Linked DNA regions of Arabidopsis thaliana. The protein of the gene in region 1 binds, or shares a complex with, the protein of each later gene. Each region holds a gene or a part of one and is shown in the gene's direction. Other genes may lie near its edges. The genes, in order: MED31, AT5G63480, AT1G15770 and AT5G02850.

Evidence for each region.
Region 2: MED31 (region 1) and AT5G63480 share a complex: the UniProt entries of both Arabidopsis thaliana proteins name them as parts of the mediator complex.
Region 3: MED31 (region 1) and AT1G15770 share a complex: the UniProt entries of both Arabidopsis thaliana proteins name them as parts of the mediator complex.
Region 4: MED31 (region 1) and AT5G02850 share a complex: the UniProt entries of both Arabidopsis thaliana proteins name them as parts of the mediator complex.

What each region holds. Positions count from the first base shown.
Region 1 is NC_003076.8:6,729,937-6,735,013, reverse strand, and holds MED31 (SOH1 family protein), read left to right. Parts: upstream 1-2,023; 5' UTR 2,024-2,192; coding exon 2,193-2,242; intron 2,243-2,321; coding exon 2,322-2,419; intron 2,420-2,543; coding exon 2,544-2,640; intron 2,641-2,734; coding exon 2,735-2,813; intron 2,814-2,878; coding exon 2,879-2,968; intron 2,969-3,146; coding exon 3,147-3,400; intron 3,401-3,517; coding exon 3,518-3,530; 3' UTR 3,531-3,778; downstream 3,779-5,077. Other genes in the region: AT5G19920 (Transducin/WD40 repeat-like superfamily protein), read left to right, coding at 173-338, 620-990, 1,074-1,392; AT5G19900 (PRLI-interacting factor), read left to right, coding at 4,969-5,077. UniProt on the Arabidopsis thaliana protein: Component of the Mediator complex, a coactivator involved in the regulated transcription of nearly all RNA polymerase II-dependent genes.
Region 2 is NC_003076.8:25,415,683-25,420,259, forward strand, and holds AT5G63480 (mediator of RNA polymerase II transcription subunit), read left to right. Parts: upstream 1-1,566; 5' UTR 1,567-1,634; coding exon 1,635-2,012; intron 2,013-2,266; coding exon 2,267-2,359; intron 2,360-2,692; coding exon 2,693-2,791; 3' UTR 2,792-2,953; downstream 2,954-4,577. Other genes in the region: NF-YC4 (nuclear factor Y, subunit C4), read right to left, coding at 650-1,402; AT5G63490 (CBS / octicosapeptide/Phox/Bemp1 (PB1) domains-containing protein), read right to left, coding at 3,034-3,225, 3,363-3,452, 3,551-3,636, 3,718-3,833, 3,938-4,047, 4,156-4,214, 4,305-4,410, 4,538-4,577. UniProt on the Arabidopsis thaliana protein: Component of the Mediator complex, a coactivator involved in the regulated transcription of nearly all RNA polymerase II-dependent genes.
Region 3 is NC_003070.9:5,425,508-5,430,402, reverse strand, and holds AT1G15770 (mediator of RNA polymerase II transcription subunit), read left to right. Parts: upstream 1-2,122; 5' UTR 2,123-2,187; coding exon 2,188-2,274; intron 2,275-2,597; coding exon 2,598-3,107; intron 3,108-3,226; coding exon 3,227-3,511; 3' UTR 3,512-3,695; downstream 3,696-4,895. Other genes in the region: AT1G15772 (mediator of RNA polymerase II transcription subunit), read left to right, coding at 1,171-1,218, 1,311-1,385, 1,469-1,702; AT1G15760 (Sterile alpha motif (SAM) domain-containing protein), read right to left, coding at 4,081-4,689. UniProt on the Arabidopsis thaliana protein: Component of the Mediator complex, a coactivator involved in the regulated transcription of nearly all RNA polymerase II-dependent genes.
Region 4 is NC_003076.8:649,668-654,880, forward strand, and holds AT5G02850 (hydroxyproline-rich glycoprotein family protein), read left to right. Parts: upstream 1-2,380; 5' UTR 2,381-2,491; coding exon 2,492-3,772; 3' UTR 3,773-4,096; downstream 4,097-5,213. Other genes in the region: LCL1 (LHY/CCA1-like 1), read left to right, coding at 88-211, 295-453, 563-688, 767-876, 1,194-1,253, 1,495-1,545; AT5G02860 (Pentatricopeptide repeat (PPR) superfamily protein), read left to right, coding at 4,435-5,213. UniProt on the Arabidopsis thaliana protein: Component of the Mediator complex, a coactivator involved in the regulated transcription of nearly all RNA polymerase II-dependent genes.

The sequences.
Region 1 (5,077 bases):
AGTAGGCGAAATTTAGTTTCACTTATATTTGTCAACAAGCTGCAACGTTTAGTTGTACATGATCTTAAGAGATAGAGTTTTGTACAATTTTTTCTACTCTTATTTTCGTGAACATTTTAATCTGAATTTCGTTGGATACTAACCTATCCATCATGCTTTCACCATTGAGCAGGTCCACCGCTACTTTGTTTAAGACGGTTAATCGGGTAGCAGTAGATCAGAAGAAATGGGCAGAAGATATAGCTTGGCATCCACATAAGAATGCACTTTTCTCCGTGTATACTGCAGATGATGGTCACCCTCAGATATCAGCCATATATCTGAATGAAGCTGGAGAGGTAAAAGTATATGAATGCTGTAGCACATTCTAGCGTTTTACCATATTAAATTTGCGATTGGACATTCATGAGTGGAGTGTGTGCTTAAACTTGTAGAAAGTTAACTTGGTCTTCATAACCTGTTAGAAAGAAAAAAATCAATATAGCTGGAATAATTGGGAATTTGATTCGACCCTTGACTTATCTACTAGTTGTAAGATCTAACTTGATGGTTATAGTCTTTTATCCTTGGGGAAGTTAGTTATGTGCTCATTTCTTTTTGGATATCTGTTCATCTGCAGAGATGTGAGTCGCAATTTATGGAGGACAGGCCTCATAGCAAAGGTCTTATCAACAGAATCATGTTTACGCCTTGGGATGATCCTTGCTTCATCACAGGTGGGAGTGACCATGCAGTAGTGTTATGGCGGGATCAGTGTGAGAATAATGCGTGGAAGCCGACGCTTCTGCATAGGGACTTGCATTCGTCGGCTGTGATGGGAGTTACTGGAATGCGCCATAACAATCACGTCTTGTCATGTGGAGACGATAGGAGATTTGTTGGGTTTGATGCCCGAGAAGAAAAAGTCACATTTAAACATAGACTAGACAACAGATGCACAAATATAATGCCAAACCCGCGAGATGTTAATCTTGTCATGGTTAACACGAGGTAAAACTGACTCTTGATTTATATATATCCCAGAAGAAGCGATTGCCTTAAAGTCCGTTCTTTTGCTTGTGTTGTGTTTGCAGGCAGCTAGACCGGCAACTGCGGTTGTATGATGTTAGATTGCCTCAGACAGAACTATTTTCTTTTGGGTGGAAGCAAGAAAGCAGTGAATCGCAGTCGGCTCTAATTAATCAGTCTTGGTCTCCAGATGGTTTACACATCTCATCTGGTTCTGCAGACCCCGTGATCCACATCTTTGATATCCGATACAATGCACCGAGCCCGTCTCTCTCGATGAAAGCTCATAAGAAAAGAGTGTTCAAAGCCGAGTGGCACTCTTCTTATCCGCTGCTCGTCTCCATCTCATCAGATTTAGCAATTGGGATTCACAAGCTATGGTGAAAACTTGTAAAGCCATCACCTGAATTTGAAGGCCATTAACTTCTGAAACAGAACTTGTCTTGGCAAGTTGGCACAAGGTGTTGATTGGCAAGTAAGAACTGAGTACAGCACGCAGGCTGGATACGAAAACTGTCTTGGGAGTTGCATAGGTCAGTCCAGGGTCTGATGGCTCTTGTCTTTTGATTTTTTTTTTTAACTGTGGGAAACTCTAGCTTTTTAGCTGTCACATTTTGCGGGGATTACAACATTACAATGTACAGTATACATTTTTGAGGGCCAACTCATTGGAGCCAAATGTCCTCAGATTTTCTGTCTGCTATAATCCTCAACCATAGTTAGCATGACAAAGAGTTGCAACATCTATATCGATTGGTCACAAAAAAACTTTTGTATGATTGCATAAAGATTCCGGTCCATGTTTCAAAATTCAAGATTTGTCCTTGTGATTCATAATCTTGAGATAAGTAAGAAAGAGATTCATAACATGACTAAAAATGCCACCAAGTGAATCTTTGAATGTAAAGTAACTCCAAGTTTGGGCAGAGACTTCTCCATCTGCTACCGAGTATAACGGTTCTTTTAAGACCGCTTCTTGTGGAAAAAAAAAAAAAAAGACCGCTTCTTAAACCGTAATTTTGTACTAATTTTCCAATCTCTTTTTCTATTTGCATTCAGAACCGGTTTAGGCCTTTGGTTTATAACCAAAATTCAATTCAGAAATCAGAACCAAAATCCTCCGTCTACCTCCGTCTGATTCCTCTATTGGGAGAATCCAAATTTGCTTCAGGTTCCGTTCGTTCATGGCTTCGCCAGAGGAGATGGGTGATGATGCATCAGAAATTCCATCCCCGTGAGTGCATCTTCTTCCTCTTGTACACTTTCATATTCTTCAAATCTGCTCTTTTATTATCTAATTCGCATCTCTACAGGCCAAAAAACACTTACAAGGATCCCGACGGTGGAAGGCAACGATTCTTACTGGAACTTGAATTTATTCAATGTCTCGCCAATCCTACTTACATCCACTGTAAGTTTAGAATTCGTTCTATGGCTTAGGGTTTTAGTGTTCGAAATTGAGATTTAAAAAGGGATTTGTTCTAAGGCTTAGGGTTTGTACTTACCACATTCTGCTTTTGGTTACTGTTTGGCAGACCTGGCACAGAATCGGTATTTTGAAGATGAAGCATTTATTGGATACTTGAAGTATCTTCAATACTGGCAGCGACCAGAGTACATCAAGTTCATTATGTAAGTTGGAATATCTTATGGAATTGGTGTAGTCTTGTAGAGTCTTGTGAAGGTTTGGATAATATATCTTTGGTTTCCTATGTTCTTGTTACAGGTACCCACACTGCCTATATTTCCTTGAACTTCTTCAAAACCCCAACTTCAGGACTGCTATGGCTCATCCTGCAAACAAGGTACAAGAATACGATATGAATCATCAAGTGAAATCAGCATGTTAGTGAGCATTGTGAATAGGGAGTGGTTCAAAATGTTAGGGTACTGGTGTTTTTGGAATGTGTTTTGGGGACTTGTAGAGTTTAGGGTCTCTCTAGTACAAAACCTTGCTTACGTTCTGCTAGTTTGGTTCTGTGATTCTGCGTTTATGCCCATCTATTCATGAGATAGAGAAAGTTGTTTAATATTCTAAACTTTATGTCCTTTGTCAGAATTTCTTATAGGAAATCTATTGTTGTTGAAGTTTTCTTAAGTTTTGAACTTTGTCTTCGGTTGAATCTGGATTTTTCCAGGAATTGGCGCATAGACAACAGTTTTACTATTGGAAGAACTACAGAAACAACAGACTGAAGCACATTCTACCTCGGCCTCTTCCAGAGCCTGTACCTCCACAACCACCAGTTGCACCTTCAACTTCTTTGCCACCTGCACCATCTGCAACTGCTGCTCTCTCTCCAGCCCTTTCTCCAATGCAGTACAATAATATGCTTTCTAAGAATGACACTAGGAATATGGGTGCTACTGGAATTGATCGTAGGAAGAGAAAGTATGTGCTCCTTTCTTCTTCTTGATAATGATGACCATTTTGTGTGTGTTTTTAAGATGACTGCAAATGTGTTACGAAAAAAAGCAACACTCTAATATGTGAGTCATATAATGTCAGGAAGGGTATATAAGCATTTCCTGCCCTGAAGCATACACCATGGCGTCAGTCGTCAGATATGGTTTCCTCCATGTCCTAGGAGGGAAGCCTACTTGACTCAGGTTACAAAAATGTTGGAAACTCGGTATTACTCATTCCGTGTCATAGGCCGTTTATGGAAGTTGTCATATATGGTGTTCAATCTTTGTCTATGATATACAACAACCCCCAATCAGTATCAGTCTTTATCTTTGTTCCTATCGATCTTGACAATTGCAACACTTTATTTTTTTTGAGAAGCTTAGAAGCAATAGGAAAAATTATGGGAATGCCAAACATTTGTCCTTGGCAGAGATTGCTTCTGCCGGTAAAACATTAATTAGGAGTGGGGTTTCCATGTTGCACTTGTTGGTGGAAATTGTACGAAATGACTCTTTGACGTATCTTTGACAACAGTTAGAAGACCCAAACATGACAGAGTGTGCTATGGACCATGGTATACGAAACTTGATATGTGATGAAACTCGTATAACGTAACTCACGGTTCAAGAAAGGAGAAGAAAATAGCATAACTCAAGGATATGAATAAAAGAAGAACATGAACACTTATGGATTAGAAATGACTTTGATACCTTAAAATGTTGAGATTCTTCTCCATTGAATGATTAATTATAGGGAGGTTTGTTAATATAGTCCAAATTTTGGGGCTAATGTGTGATTGCAATCAAAACCAAATTTTGGAAATAGTCCACTTTTCTCTAAAATTATAATTAAAATACCATCATCAAGAGAAAAAAAGAGGCAAAAAACATAGTTACCTAAAGTAGAACGTCCAAATATGAATTTTGATATTAAAGTTAAATTAACTTTAGCAGAAAAAGGTTGAATAATATTTTGCCAAATTATCAAGTGATTAGGTTTATGATTTAAAATATTTCTAACTAATAATAATAATAATATCAAAGAAAACCGTAACCGACTCTACCCTTTAAATATAAACATAATCTCAGCCGTCGGTTTAAACGTGTCGCATCTCCATCGTTGATTAGGACTTGGCATCTTTTCGTCGCCTCTATTTAAAGAATCTCATCATCTCTTCTGCCGTTCGTACACAGAGGTTCTCTTTGCCTTTAATTTATTTTTCTTCTGCCCAAACCAAAAAAAAAAAGTTTCCAGATCCAAAATTACAACAAAGATTCTCAAACTCCTAAAACTTCATCTTAAAAACTTAACAAACAAAATTCTAATTACGAAAAATCCCAATCCTAGTGTTTCTCTTGTTGGCTTTTTTGTTTGATCTGTCTGTAATTTTTTTTTTGTTTGATCTGTGGTTTGTTTTGTAAAAATTCCACTCGTCAGCACTCAGATTAATCTCTTGTCCATTGATCTATCTATCGACTTGCTTCGACTTTTGATTTGAGATTTGCGAAAATTAGGGTTTTTGTTTCGAAATTAGTGTTTGTGTCACCTAGATGAACGATCAATCTAAGCTGATGAATCCGCCACCTCCACAGCAGATGATTGGTCAGCCTCCACCGCAACAGAGGATGAATCCGCCGCCGCCGTCACAGGTACCACGGA
Region 2 (4,577 bases), about 19 Mb from region 1:
AGTAAGAAGTTATTATAAGAGACAGAGAACTCAAAGCTACTACAAGCCATGAAATACAAACTCAATATGCCATACATAAGCTCTGATCATTACTAGATTAGGAGCAAGAATCAACAAAAATACAAAGCATAGATTAGAATCTGCACATTTAGATTAATATATAGTTAAGCAAGTCTGCAGTTTTGCTGCAATAACTTATAAGTTAACAGGAAAAATGAAAAAGAGCTTTTTTGTTTTGTTTTGTTTGATCTCTCTCTCTCTCTCGAGTAAGTCATTCGAATCATAGACATATAAGAATCAGACACTTGCAGGGTCGAAATGATGATTAAATCTCTAAGCTTCTGGTTCCATAGCTCAACTGCACAACATTGTACAAATAATCAAAGGTGTGAGTCAAATCAAATAATGGATATCAAAATTGTGTATTTTACAAAGTTTTGTTTATGAATCTAAAGAAATGAGCCAGATGATACTGTAAATTGAGCTTCTTTGATATTATCAATTTTTAGCTTATTTGATGAGAATCAATGAAGATGACACAGAGCAGCAAATTCCTCTAAGACTAATCAAAGCAAGCTCATGAAGAATCTCAATAACCATAGATAATCAATTGCAACAAGCTACATTGCTGAATATTACTAGAATTCACTTACCCTTGGCTATCGAGATTACCATGGCCGCTACTTCCTCCACTTCCATAAGACACATCATCACCACCACCAGCTGAATTCTGCCAAACGCTTTGCCATGCCTGAGAAGGAGGCTGAGCATAAACACCGCTAGGATCCATCGCCGGTCTTCCAATCATCATCCCTCCAGGAACCGCCGGTTGTCCCATCGGTGGATAATAATAAGGAACACCGCTCGCGGCGGGAGCAACCATACCTCCTCCACCAAGAGCCGATGCTGCATCTTCCTCTTCCTTGATCTCTTCCCTAGGAACAATATCAACAAGGAAATCGAAGATATCGGTTCTAGTAATCGCAGCAGCGATATCGTTTTTCTGAAGCGTACGACGTTTGTTCTCTTCAGCGTGAAGCCAAGATCTAATCGTAAGTTCGAGAATGAAAAGCTCACAAGCTTTCGCGAAGAGAATCGGTGCTTCGGCGGAGATCATACGCACATCTTCATCAGCTTTCATGATTTTTTTGATACGAGCTAGAGGGAGCTGATGGTTTTTGAAATCGTTTACCTGTTCGATCTCTTGTCTCTGGTATGTCCAGAACATTTGAAGCTGTTGCTGTTGTTGCTGGAGGAGGTGGTGGTATGTCGCTCCTCCTCCGGTGACTATTGATGCAGATCCAGATGGTGGAGGAGGGATTACGGTTGTGACGGCGGAGCCAGGTGGATAGACGGAGGTTGGTGGTGGTTGCTGGTTGTTGTTGTTGTTGTTATTGTCCATTGGATCTTTGCCTTGTGATTGGATCAAAAGATCAAACTAACGTTTTAGATAGTTTTTGTCATATGGATTGGAGTAATAGTGGATAAGGTAGACAGCGATGTAGCTGATTTCTTTCTATTTTTATTTATCTATAAAAACTATATTATTGATATATATATTATATAGTTTGATTAAAACGACATCGTATTAATAGTTTAGTCAACCGACGCCGTGATAAAGTGTGTTCACGGTGATGCTGCAGAAACAGGTCTCGACGACGACGACGATGACGACACAGGAGCTAGCGATGGAAGGAGAGAAGCAATTGGAAGAAACTATTGAAGCGGCGTTTCAGATAATTTCAGCCATGAATGATGAGCTTTGTAATCCGTCTTTGTGGTCTACTTCAGCTACCCCGAGTTCCGCCGCGACGACGACGGGTTCTAATGGTTCGGCTCTCGTTTCCGCCGATGCGGCTGCGATTGATGGAACATCGCATCATTCGGAATCTGCTGGTGGTGGCGGGGGCGGAGGAAGTGGAAATAGTGTTTTGGATGAGGCGAGTCTTCGGTATAAGAACTCAGTGACTTCGCTTCGTGCTGTTCTTGCTGCGATTCCAAATTCGCAGAAGGTATTGAACATAATGTGATGTTACTAACTATTTCGAGAAGTGTTTTGTTCTGAGTTGTTTCTGGACTGAGGAAATTTTGAATTCCTAGGGTGTTTTGAGATCTTAGATTAGGAAATCTTCGAATCGATAGAGAGTTTAGATGAAGGATCTAATGCTTGTTGAGTGTCTTGTTCTTCACTTGTAGTGAACTTGCTTAATTTTAAATGAGAGCTTTTTTGAGGTTTCATAAATTTGAATTTGTTCATCTATTACAGGCAAAAGCATCTGAAATGCAAAATGGTTTAGGATCTCCTGAAAGTGAAGACGAGATCGAAAAATTGGAGGAGCAAGCCTTAAGTCTCAGAATGGTAAAGCTTTCTGCAATTTCTACATCTCTTTGTTTTCAATCTGATGTTACTACATTGATACACTATTCAGTCTCGAATTCTCTGTACATTTCAACTCACATAGCATTGAATTTGATTCATATTTTCTTGTATAAAGTGTTCTTTCCCACTGTCTAGTGTAAGTGTTTGTATCATTATAGCTTAAGCGGTTCTAGAACCATGGAAATGTTGATAATTTTTTGAATACATTTCAGCCATCTGGTCATTTTGATTTCTATGTTAATAACCTTATGGGAAGTGATTATATTGTTCTTCTCTGTTGGCATTAATAAACGGAAGCTTTTGTTCATGCAGGAGATTGCAAAGAAGAATGTTCATGTTAAAGAACTTATAGATAAACTTCGGGAACTTATAGCAGATATCTCTACATGGCAAAGCCCTTGTTCTGTTTGAGTTTTATTTTTTTGACAATAGTGAGATCAGTTTAGACAAAGATTCTAAGCCTTGTTCTTGAATTACTCCATGTATTAGTTTTAGATATTTGTTATTTTGATATCATGAAGCCAAAAAAATAATCAAAAATGACTTTTGTATATAAAAATATTTCAGACAAAACCTTCAAACCCTGTGTCTGTTTTTCTTTTTTGTTTGTATTGATCTGTTAAAGAAACACTTCTTGTAGTGTTTCTGAGGAATCAATGACCGAATTTTCTGAGAAAAGCCATAAAACCAAGACCAGCTACTAATGCTGCACCAGCCGCAACTCCACTATAAGCAGCAGCCCAAGCGTCTGTCTCTACATACTCCATTGATTCTGCTGATCCTGATGCTCTTCTCCTTCTTCTTCCTTTGCCTTCTCTTGAATCATCCAAATGTAATCTCAGACTCTGCAATTTATAATGATCAAATCAATTCAGAAAGCAAAAGGGGTTTATGGGCAATCTCATGAAGGTTTCATCTTCGACTTTGGTTCTTGTTGCTTATCAACCAAAAGTTTAAAGCAGGAGGAAATCGTTCTTTTTACCTTCCAGCCAATTGATTTTGCATGCTCTATGGCTGCTTGAAGGTCACTATCTGAAGCCAACAACACTTTATCGTGGTCTTCATCTTCATACTGCACATTATAACCATCATTTTAACAATTCAGGGGGTGACAAGAGAAGAATTAGATAATGATTGCATCATAGTCTTTATGTAAAAGAAAATATTTACCAAAATTTGGGGGAAGTTATCTGGATCGATATCATCCCCTACCCTCTGAATGATCGCGGTTATCACCTCTGTCAAACTCCGAGTGTCTGCAAAAAGAACCAATTCAGTTAAGTAAAAGCAAGACTACAACTATTTACTTGATGAATAAAAATCAAAATTATTTTTACCGCTTATGAATCTGTGTTTCCTGTGCTTTTTGTCTTCAATTTTGAAAGAAAATGTATTTGCAAAAGGGAAAGATTTTCCTGTCTCAGCTTCGGAAGCAACCTTCATGGAGCTCTCACTGAAACAAATTGTTCCCCATGTTGTCAACAAAGTCAGCAAAACCAAAGCTTTCTTTGAAAAGAAACTCGATAAATAGTGGAACAAGTAAGACTAGCTAATAACCTTCTCGAGTCCTCATCGTCCTCATTAGGAGACAATGCCATAGCTGAATCCCAAAACTTTTGCATCATTGTGTTTGTCGCCTCATTACCTATTCCCGCAGTAGTTCCAGCCTGAACACATCAAAATAACTACAAGATTGAAACATGTATCTAGAAAAAAGAGAACAGTGGATGTTCTAAACGAAAAAATTTACAGACGGTTCAAGAGATGGGAGTTACTGTGGCAACAGCAGCGTGAGTGACATGGATTACATCGACAACAGCAACTACATCTCCTTCTGCAATCAGAAACCCATTTATGGTTTACATGCGTTTGCCTTTTTAGTTTTTGTAAGACTTTACAATTGAAAAGGTTTCAGAATTCTCACCTTTGTCAGTAACGGGAAGGTGTAAGAATTTTCCCTCGTGCATGATGTGTAGAGCTTCAACAATTGGTGTGTCAACTATCGTAGATTCTGGATTCTGAGTCATAACCTATGCATTAATGAATACGAACAAATGGTTAAATTCAGGAAAAAGGAGCAACTATCACTAAGCTGGAAATAAGAGTCTAAGATGGTTGAATAATACAAGACCCTGGAGACTAATCTTTTAATCTTACCGTTTCCACTAGAGTCTCAGATGGAGGAAGATTTTCAGCC
Region 3 (4,895 bases), on another chromosome or scaffold:
ACTTGCAGGTTCATGTCAAAACTAAAGAAAAAAAGCCAAAAAGTTTTTTCCTCACTTTTTGTTGTATAGTATAAGTTGTTTTCCCACACACGTGATTGGGATTTTTTGTTATCTGTTTGCAAAAGCTTATGCTATATTATTGAATATATTTAAATAATATTATTTTAACTTTATTGTATGTATTTTGTGAATCTTGTTAGTATATTCGTCATTTTCTTCTAATTCTGAAGTGCAATTACCCCTTTTTTGGGGTCTTGCTGAATGTTGTATTTTGAGATTTGTTGTAATACGCATTTTGAGATCGTTCAGAAGAGTTTCAACTTCTTTACTCTGTTCAGTTGTCACAATAAAATGGCTGTTTGAAACATTTTTTTTTTTTTGTATATACCAAATGGCTAACTTTTTTATTGTAATTATTGATGATTTATCATCATAAAGTCATCAAGTTAGAAGATACAAGGAGTGATCAGTGTGGTGTGTAATTGTCTATACAAATTAGTACATGAACGAGATTTATTTAGTTAATGACTATAATTAACATTTTGGTCACACAAATAGCCGGAGATTTCACTGGTTTTTCTACAAGTCTCTTTACTCGATTTTTAGCCTTTACTGTGTGAAATAGAAAACTTAAAAAAACTCCAAAAAACTTATTATTTGCAGAAGAGACTTGGGCCTGATAAGTACTTATTATTGGGTCATTGGGCCTCGCTTAATAACCTGATATTGTAATGTTGTTGAAGCCTTTTAATCCTTGTATTTAGCTCTCTCTTGTTTGTTTCTCTATAAAATCAAAAGATGATTAAAACAAAAACAATCATCTCTAATTCTTCTCCTTAACCCTAATTGCTACGTTTCACTTATTAAAAGAAAGATTGAAACGTAAGAACGTTTGGAGAAAAACCAAATCCAAACGGACCGTTCTAAGTCTCGGAGATTCATCGCCAAAAGGTCCTTATTTTGAGTCACCTATCTCATTACGTGTCATAGTAAACCCATGGATTCGTCGATAGCAAAACCTTTTGCATAAGAAACTAGTTTTATGGATTGATGATACTTGTGTACCTCTAATTTTAGGTTTTTGTATTTTTTTTTACACAGTTTCTGATGATGAATGAATCTCGCTTTTTAATTATTTTTCTTGGCTAGCAACACTAGATAGTAGATACAATGGAAAATGAAAATGGAGATGATTGGCGGGAGGAGGTTTTCCAAAAGGTAACTCATAAGTCATAATCATCATAATAATAAAACTCCTTTCTTAAATCATCATCGGGATCATTCATTGTGGTGTGTAATTGTTTATACAGCTTAGATCCATGAGAGAGCGTTATCTACCACATGTGACTGATGTTTACCAGAGACTTGCAGACAAGTTGAACCATGTAAGATGTAGTTACTGTCAACTATTAACTCTCTGCCTTAAGTTGTATAGATGTAGTAATACTAGTTTGTTTGTTTTTTTCAGGAGGAATCGCTTCCGCAGCAACAAAGATCAAAGCACTTTGACAAGTTCCAAAGCATGAAGACAAACATAGAGCAATTGATCCAAGTCCTATCTCTTCGAAAGAGAAATATCATGCCGATATTAAAGGATTGTAGATGGGACTATTATGAGAAACGGATTATATATTTCTTAATTACGCTAAGAACCGGCTGGGAAGACAGTACAGCAAAGGCAGCTTCAAGATCAGTCTCATAATAATCAAGGAAATGCATTGTAGATATTTTGTCTCTCTCTCTTTTTATGTTGGTCTTCTCTCTTCTGATGTGTTTTGAACTCTCATCCTCAATGTTGTTGACTCCGGTGCTCTGTTTCTACCAGGCTCCTCCTATCAAGTTATGATCGAAAAATGAATAAAGACCCTTTTTTTTTTTGTAAATGTTAATTTCTCGGAGATTAGGTGTGTTTTTGGTGGGTGCTTTAGTGTTCCGTCAACTAGTAGGGTAGGGTTTGGTTTCTTATTGAATTCATGCAGAATTCTTTTACCCATCAACAGAGATTAAAGCAATTTGAGAGATTGAAGGCAATGTTGGAGCGAAGAATGATACAATTCCTATCTGTTTCAAAGAAGCAATGTCATGCCTTACTTGAAAGATTACTACGACAACCAGATTATTCCTTTGTTACTAGCAGGATCATCTCTCTGTTACTAGATGATATCACCATGATGAGTAATCGTATGTATGATTATATTGCTTTTCTTTGTAGATCAAATCCATCAAAGAGACCTCAATGAAATCTACCAGAGAGTAGCAGCCAAGTTGCAGCAAGTAAGTTACAGTTTTCATTCTTCCTAGGAAGTTAGTTTGCACGTGTACGTCCTCTGGAACAGTACTAAGTACTTTATGAAGAGTTTTACAAATTCAATGCAAGATCAGTTCATTGTTACAAATGAAAGTCCTACAACTTAGGATTCTTGTTACCCATTTAACAAAGTAAAAGGTTCGTCAGACTCTTATACTTACAGATAGTTCACTAGAAGTTAACCTTCTGACAGATATATTCCTTCCCAAACCTACAGAGGTTGTAAACTTTTAACGTTCATCTATATGTTTGTTTCTTTTCTACTGAATACGTTCCGTTTTCTCTCTAGGAGGATTCTCTTTCGCATCAGAAACAAAGATCAGATCAGTTTGAGAAATTGAAACGAGGCAAGACAGTGTTGGAGGGAATGCTACGTTTCCTATCTCTTTCAAAGAGCAATATCAAACCTGACTTGAAGGATAGTATGGATTATCGCAAGAACAACATTATGAATTTCTTAAATATGCAGAGTCTGAGGAAGACAGTACAGAAACTGCAGCTTACGAAATCTGAGATTCAGCCTATGCAGCAACCACTATCTCAGACAGTTCAAGATCAGTCTCATGATGACCAAACAACTCTGCAGATGCAATCAATGAGCATGCAGGGTGCTGGGTCAAGGGTACAACAGATCAGGCAAGGTGTACTTCAATCCCTTGAAATTGGCACTCCAGGGATCTCTGCCTCTCCTCTCCTTCCGGAGCTTACCAGTCCTGATGGAAATATTATAAATCCTTTGACAAGTACTTGTGGAAAATCGAGTGCTACTGAGCTGCCTATTGAACGCCTTATTAGAGCCGTAAGTAACGTTACTAATTTTGAAGGGTATATTGCAACAGGGCAGTGTCATTGCTGCCATCCCTCATTTGCCGTGGAAACATTGTTCTGATCTTGATGTTTGCTTTCTGTTGTTTTCAGATGAAATCCATCTCACCACAAGCGCTTTCGTCTGCAGTATGTGATATTAGATCTGTTGTAAGCATGGTTGATAGGATTGCTGGTTCAGTACCAGGCAAAGGTTCAAGAGCTTCATTTGGTGTGGACTTGGTTGCAATGACTAAGTGCCATCTCCAAGAAAGAAACTTCATGACGCAAGATGGCGACCATGAAAAGGAAGCGTCAGACAACCCCAATGCCATCAAGTGTTGCTTCATTGGGAGGAAAGCGTTGGTAATAGCTACAAGCATTTTGCTGGTTTGGTAACATCAGATATGGAATCTACTGTGACTTGTGGTGGCAAGAAGCCAAGAACTGAGGTATGGTTTTCAGTTACACTTCCCTTAGGTATATCTGAAAATTGACACACACACAACAGATAAAATTTGGAAGCACAATGTTTTGTGTGCTCTAGTGTAGACTGTGTAGTGTCCTGAGCTCAAGATCTTTCCGATTACCTCAAGAGTAAGATCACTCCGGCAGGCTTAGCGTCATGGTTATGTGTGTAAACAGAGCATTTTTTGAGAAAAGAGTAAAAAGTGATAAAAGCTGTAAAGAAGTTTTGACTGGAACAGAGACTTAGGCCAAAAGCAAAGACTGGAGAGACAGACTCATTACAATGACCCCACACACTCACATACACACCTGACACCACCACTCAACTCTATTTTCCAATTGTTAACTAACAAAAATTAACTAGCCTAATCACATACAAAGACAAAATCAAGAAAACATGGTGGAAGAACCCTAAAACCTCATCTCTCACCATCAATTCTGATATAAAGAACGAAGAAGAAGCTGAAAGAGAAAACATAAAACAGAACTTAGAGATTTTTCTAAGTAGGTTTGAGATTCTGAAACATTGAATCCCATTTGATATCTTCAAAATAAGTATCTTGAGCGTAAAGTTTCTCATCCTTGAAACTGTAATCGAAAACCATGGGACTTGAGAAGCTATCGATTCTACAAGGAGTCCCATTGGTCAACAACAACCTCTCTTGCTTCTCCAATCCACCATTTCCATTGCTCGGCATCACAGATCTCTTGTTCCTCTTCAGGAATCCACCTCTCCACTTCCCAATCCCGTTGCTAGTCTTCTTCGGCACCAACACCAGAGCTCGAGACGACGCCGACTCTTCTTCACGGCGGATCCAGGCGCGTACGTGATCGGATAAACATTTCCTGGTTTTCTTAATCGCAGTCACGACTCTGGAGATGGAACGAGAGGTGAGAGGAGGAGAGTTCTTGCGATCTCGACGAGCGAGTTTGAGAATCTCGAGACGGTGTTTGGCGATAGAGATTCCCATGCTCTGGAGAAATTCGTGGTCGAAGTAAGAAATGTCTTCGTGTTCGAGCTCGTTCTGAGAGAAGGAGAGGCCGTATTCGTGGATGAGAGAAGGTTCAAGGTTTGTTCTAGAGAGCCATGAAAACCACCAATCTTCCATTGAAGAAGGTTTATGTTTGTTTGTGTTTGTGTGGGAGATGATGTATATATAGAGGAAAAGTGAGTGGGGGGCTTTTTTGACTTTTGTGCAAGTAGCGGGCTTCGTCGTTAAGGTAGTTGAGACGTAAAGAGGGACTATATCTGATTAAAGTGAAAATATAAGAGGGTCAAAAGTGAAAAACACACAGAACAAAATATTGATTTAAT
Region 4 (5,213 bases), 6.1 Mb from region 1:
GATCAGCTTCTTTGGATTTTTGGTTTAATATACAACCTTGGCACATTTCCCCACTCAATCATCCTGTGCCTGTTTGATTTACTGCAGATCAGGAGCCATGCCCAAAAATACTTTCTAAAGGTCCAAAAAAATGGGACTTTAGCACATGTTCCACCCCCTAGGCCTAAGCGCAAAGCTGCTCATCCATATCCTCAAAAGGCATCGAAAAATGGTTAGTTCTATTGTAATAGATATTACTTTGGGTTGACAGATGGAGTAACATGTAATCAATCTGATTTCAACTCAAATCTGCAGCTCAAATGTCGCTTCACGTTTCCATGTCCTTTCCTACTCAAATAAATAACCTGCCTGGATATACTCCATGGGATGATGATACATCTGCATTGTTAAACATTGCTGTAAGTGGGGTTATTCCACCAGAAGATGAACTTGATACTCTTTGTGGAGCAGAAGGCATGCGTTCTCATCTGTACTCAGTTTTTATATTTTGCTTTGGTAGTCTAGTCACTCTATCTTCTGAAGTTTTCATATGCTAAATGCGGCTTACATATCATTGTTTCAGTTGATGTTGGATCAAATGACATGATAAGTGAAACTAGTCCTTCAGCATCTGGTATCGGAAGCTCAAGCAGAACACTATCAGATTCTAAGGGTTTGAGACTGGCGAAACAAGCTCCCTCAATGCATGGTAATTATCTGAACAATTGAGGGACTATTTCTTAGTTTTCATTTTGTGGTGGACGCTGTTGTAATGGTTGCTTTGCAGGTCTTCCTGATTTTGCTGAGGTTTATAACTTCATTGGGAGTGTGTTCGATCCTGACAGCAAAGGCCGCATGAAAAAGCTCAAGGAAATGGATCCTATAAATTTCGAAACTGTGAGTTGGAGCTTTACTTGCCTTTAGATTAACTGATATGTGTGTTGCAGCATATCAATCATTTAGTCTTCTTCTTTGAGTTCCCGAATAAATTCAGCTGTGTGAGAAGATAAATATAAAGATCAGTACTTGCAATATATAGATTCACGAGTTGGAAACACCAAAAAGCCAAAGTACCATGATTCTATGGAGATGTTGGTCAAATAATGGGATTGTTACAACCATGAGTCAGTTTTAGGTGTCATGGTACCTATTTGTAGCTGTCAGTGATTGTTCTTTTTCCTAGTATCCGTCACTAATCACAGTTTTTCTTGCAGGTTTTGCTGTTGATGAGAAACCTCACAGTGAACTTGTCAAACCCTGACTTTGAACCTACTGTAAGTTATAATTTTATCATTACTTCTGTGCTCGTTGAGTATGTGAGGCACATTTGTCTTTTCGTGATAAGAATGAGTGAGAAAAAGTCTCTAACAGCTAACAAACCTACTTACTATCTGCCTTGAAGTTTAACTATAGAAATTAAGACTAGTTCGCCTTTAGTGTGTTATGTTTTTAACCGTTCCAATGATTAAATGAGGATTGTTGTGCTCTATGAGATATAATCTAACCATAATTTAGTCTGAATATGTTGATGCTGCAGAGGAAGGTCATGAACACTTAAGCTCTTAGCTGTTTGTGCACTCAACAAGTTATATATCTTCTTGACGACTTCTTGCTCGCAACAACTCTCTACCAGCTATCAAGTAAGTTTGGTGTTATACCGCATCCCTCCGACACCAATATAAAACACTATAATAAGAACGTTCGCATTGACTTAATAGATTATATCGAAACCTAACACCACAGTTCACTAAGGTTTTCACCTTAATGTTTCTCATTTGTTACTGTAGTTATTGTCTCACATGATCGAACGTCATAATAAGAATGATCTGTAGATCATAACTGTTATATTCTCAGCGTTGCTGCTATTATTCTGATTACACTACCCTTAAGGTCTTAAGAATATTGCTCTTACGGTCTACCAAATTGCTATTGATCTCTGTATATGGTGGATTGTGTCAGATGCATTCTACGGTTGTTGTCTGAGGAGAACATAACTGAGTCGTCGTCACAAACAAGAGGAACATATGCAGTTTCGGTCAGAACCAGTCGTGTGAATGGTAGATATATGTATGTGTGTGTAGAAAATGGTTACCAATTGTATCTTCTTTTTGATAATTATTTTTTCATGCCTTTTGTAATATGTAAGTTTCTTTACCTCGTTCTCTGATTGGTTATTTTCTGGTTATCTGTTTAACCAAAAGCTATGTAACACAGTAGCAAATTGTTACTTAACTCGGAAGTGAGATACATAACTCTGTTGTATTGCACTTGTATCAAGCGTTAACGTCCATGATTCGTCTCTGTTATTGTCAATAACAATTGTTCGAAAGCCAGGTTAATGGTAATTAGGAAATTGAACCGTATCGGTATGGTTTTAGCGGGTCTTTAGACTTTTCTAATTGATACTGAGGGTTTGCGAATTTTGTATAAACAGTTGAACACTAAACAGAGAAGAGAAGCTTCGTCTCTTTAATTATCTTCGATTTAAGAGATTCTTTCGCCGTCGGCGAAGATGCTACAGCATCAGATCGTACAATCTCCGGCGAGATTAGGGTTAACAGGTCCTGGCTCTCCTTCCGTACAAAATCCGACGCCTACTCGTCATGGCCATCCAACCTCTTCTTCATCTTCCCAATCTCAGCACCAACAGATCCAACAACAGCCTAATCTACTTCCTTCCTCCACCGTCGCCGCCGCTTCCTCAGCCTCAGCTTCGGCGGCTGTTTCATCCTCCGCCTTGCTATCGCTCCTTCCTCCATTACCGCGAGCTCAAGCTCTTCTCCAGCAGATGGCGGTTTTGACATCTAAGCTCTTCGACGTCTCTCCCAATCGAGCTATCTGGCTCTCAGCTTTCCGTGGCTCTCTCCCTTCGTTCCTCTCCTCACACTCGTTACCACCTCCGCCGCCGCTTGAAAACCCTAGTCCTTCATCCACGAAGGAGATCCTCTCTCAATTCAATTCCCTCCAGACTCAGCTCTTCGAAGCCGTTACAGAGCTTCAAGAGATCCTCGATCTGCAAGACGCGAAGCAGAAGGTGGCGCGTGAGATCAAATCCAAAGATTCATCTCTTCTCGCTTTCGCTAACAAACTCAAGGATGCAGAACGTGTTCTCGATATGCTTGTTGACGACTACTCCGATTACCGCAAACCAAAACGAAGCAAAATTGAAGAAGATGACGAAGACAATGATAATGAGTCTTCTTCTTCTTCAACCACAGTTTCGTCTCAGCTCAAGTTAAAGGACATATTAGCTTACGCTCACAAGATTAGCTACACCACATTTGCTCCGCCGGAATTCGGTGCAGGGCAAGCACCTCTCCGTGGTGCATTACCACCAGCTCCACAAGACGAACAAATGAGAGCTTCCCAGCTCTACACTTTCGCTGATCTTGATATCGGTCTGCCGAAAACAGTAGAAAACATGGAGAAGAAGGTTGAAGCACTGATTGAGCCACCACCACCACCAGAAGCTATGGATATATCTGCTATTCACAACCTGCTTCCGCCGAATATCGCAGTTCCTTCAGGATGGAAACCAGGAATGCCAGTCGAATTGCCTAGAGATTTACCATTGCCACCTCCTGGATGGAAACCAGGCGACCCAGTTGTGTTACCGCCACTGGAGTCAATTGCTGCACCTAGAGCAGAGGATCATCAACATATGAGACCTTCTCAGGGACTCCACAGACCGCCTGATGTCATACAGGTCCGAGCTGTTCAACTTGACATTTTGGAGGATGATGATAGCAGTGATTACAGCAGCGATGATGCAAGCTCAGATGATGAGGATTAATCAACATTGTGATTGATGGTTCTCTGTAAGGTAATGATTTGACCAATGTTACTGCTAATTCTTGATCAAGTTTGATTTTCTACTTGGTTTCGTTTTGTTTAGCAGTGCCTTTATGTGGATAGATGTTAGTATATGCTTCATCGTTATCAGTATCTTTGATGTATCAAAGTTGTTTCTTACGAAAACCCTGGATTCTAATTCAGTTTACAGAATTATTGGTTATCTTTTTTCCAGAATCATTCTTTAGCTTCAAATTTCAAATTATTAGTAAAATTCAGAATGTTCAACTATTGGAGTTATGCAACTTGACATTTTGGATCGATCTCTCTATACGACAAAGTAAAATCCCTCTTAGGTCATACATACATATCAGAGGCTCTTTCTGCCCATTTCTTTATTGTACAGTTTATTGTTCCATTTGGGCTTCTAATAATATAATGGGTTGACAAAATAAGTAGTAGCCCATTTAGATCTAACCTGTTGAATCTGGACTAGCCACGTGGTCGAATATAATTGTAGGGAAATAAAACTAAAATTGTGTTCTTGGAACAAAAAAATATAATAAAAAAAATCTGACAAAAATATCCATTCATTTCTCTTCTTCTTTCACTCTCGGTTGCCTCCTGGTTCTTTTCTAGTTTCTACTACTACTACTACCTCTAATGGCGGACAAGCTAGCTCTTCCTCTTCTCCTTCCCTGCACTCCTTCCTCTAAACCTTATTCTCACGACCAAAACCACCATATCTCTCGGACGCCTTTTCTTACTACGTCTCTTTCGTCACCACCTCCTCCGCCTGTAGAGCCTCTCCTCCACGATGTTTTCCTTCACCAGAACCCTAATTCCAGACAACCCATCAGCTCTCAAACATCTAGAAACCGTAACCGGACTCGAATTGGCAAGTCACGTGACCCTAACCTCGGTAAACCTTGGTCTTACCATGGTCTTTCTCCACAAGGTCAGCAAGTTCTTCGTTCCCTCATCGAACCCAATTTTGATTCCGGTCAATTAGATTCTGTACTCTCTGAGCTATTCGAGCCTTTTAAGGATAAACCAGAGTCTACCTCGTCGGAGTTACTAGCTTTTCTTAAAGGATTAGGATTTCATAAGAAATTCGATTTGGCTCTGCGTGCTTTTGATTGGTTTATGAAGCAAAAGGATTATCAATCCATGTTGGATAACTCTGTTGTTGCTATAATCATCAGTATGCTAGGTAAAGAAGGCAGAGTATCTTCCGCTGCAAATATGTTCAATGGTTTGCAGGAAGACGGGTTTTCGCTTGATGTCTACTCTTATACTTCGTTGATATCAGCGTTTGCTAATAGCGGAAGGTATAGGGAAGCTGTAAATGTGTTCAAGAAGATGGAGGAAGATGGTTGTAAACCGACTTTGATAACGTATAATGTTATCTTGAATGTGTTTGGGAAAATGGGTACTCCTTG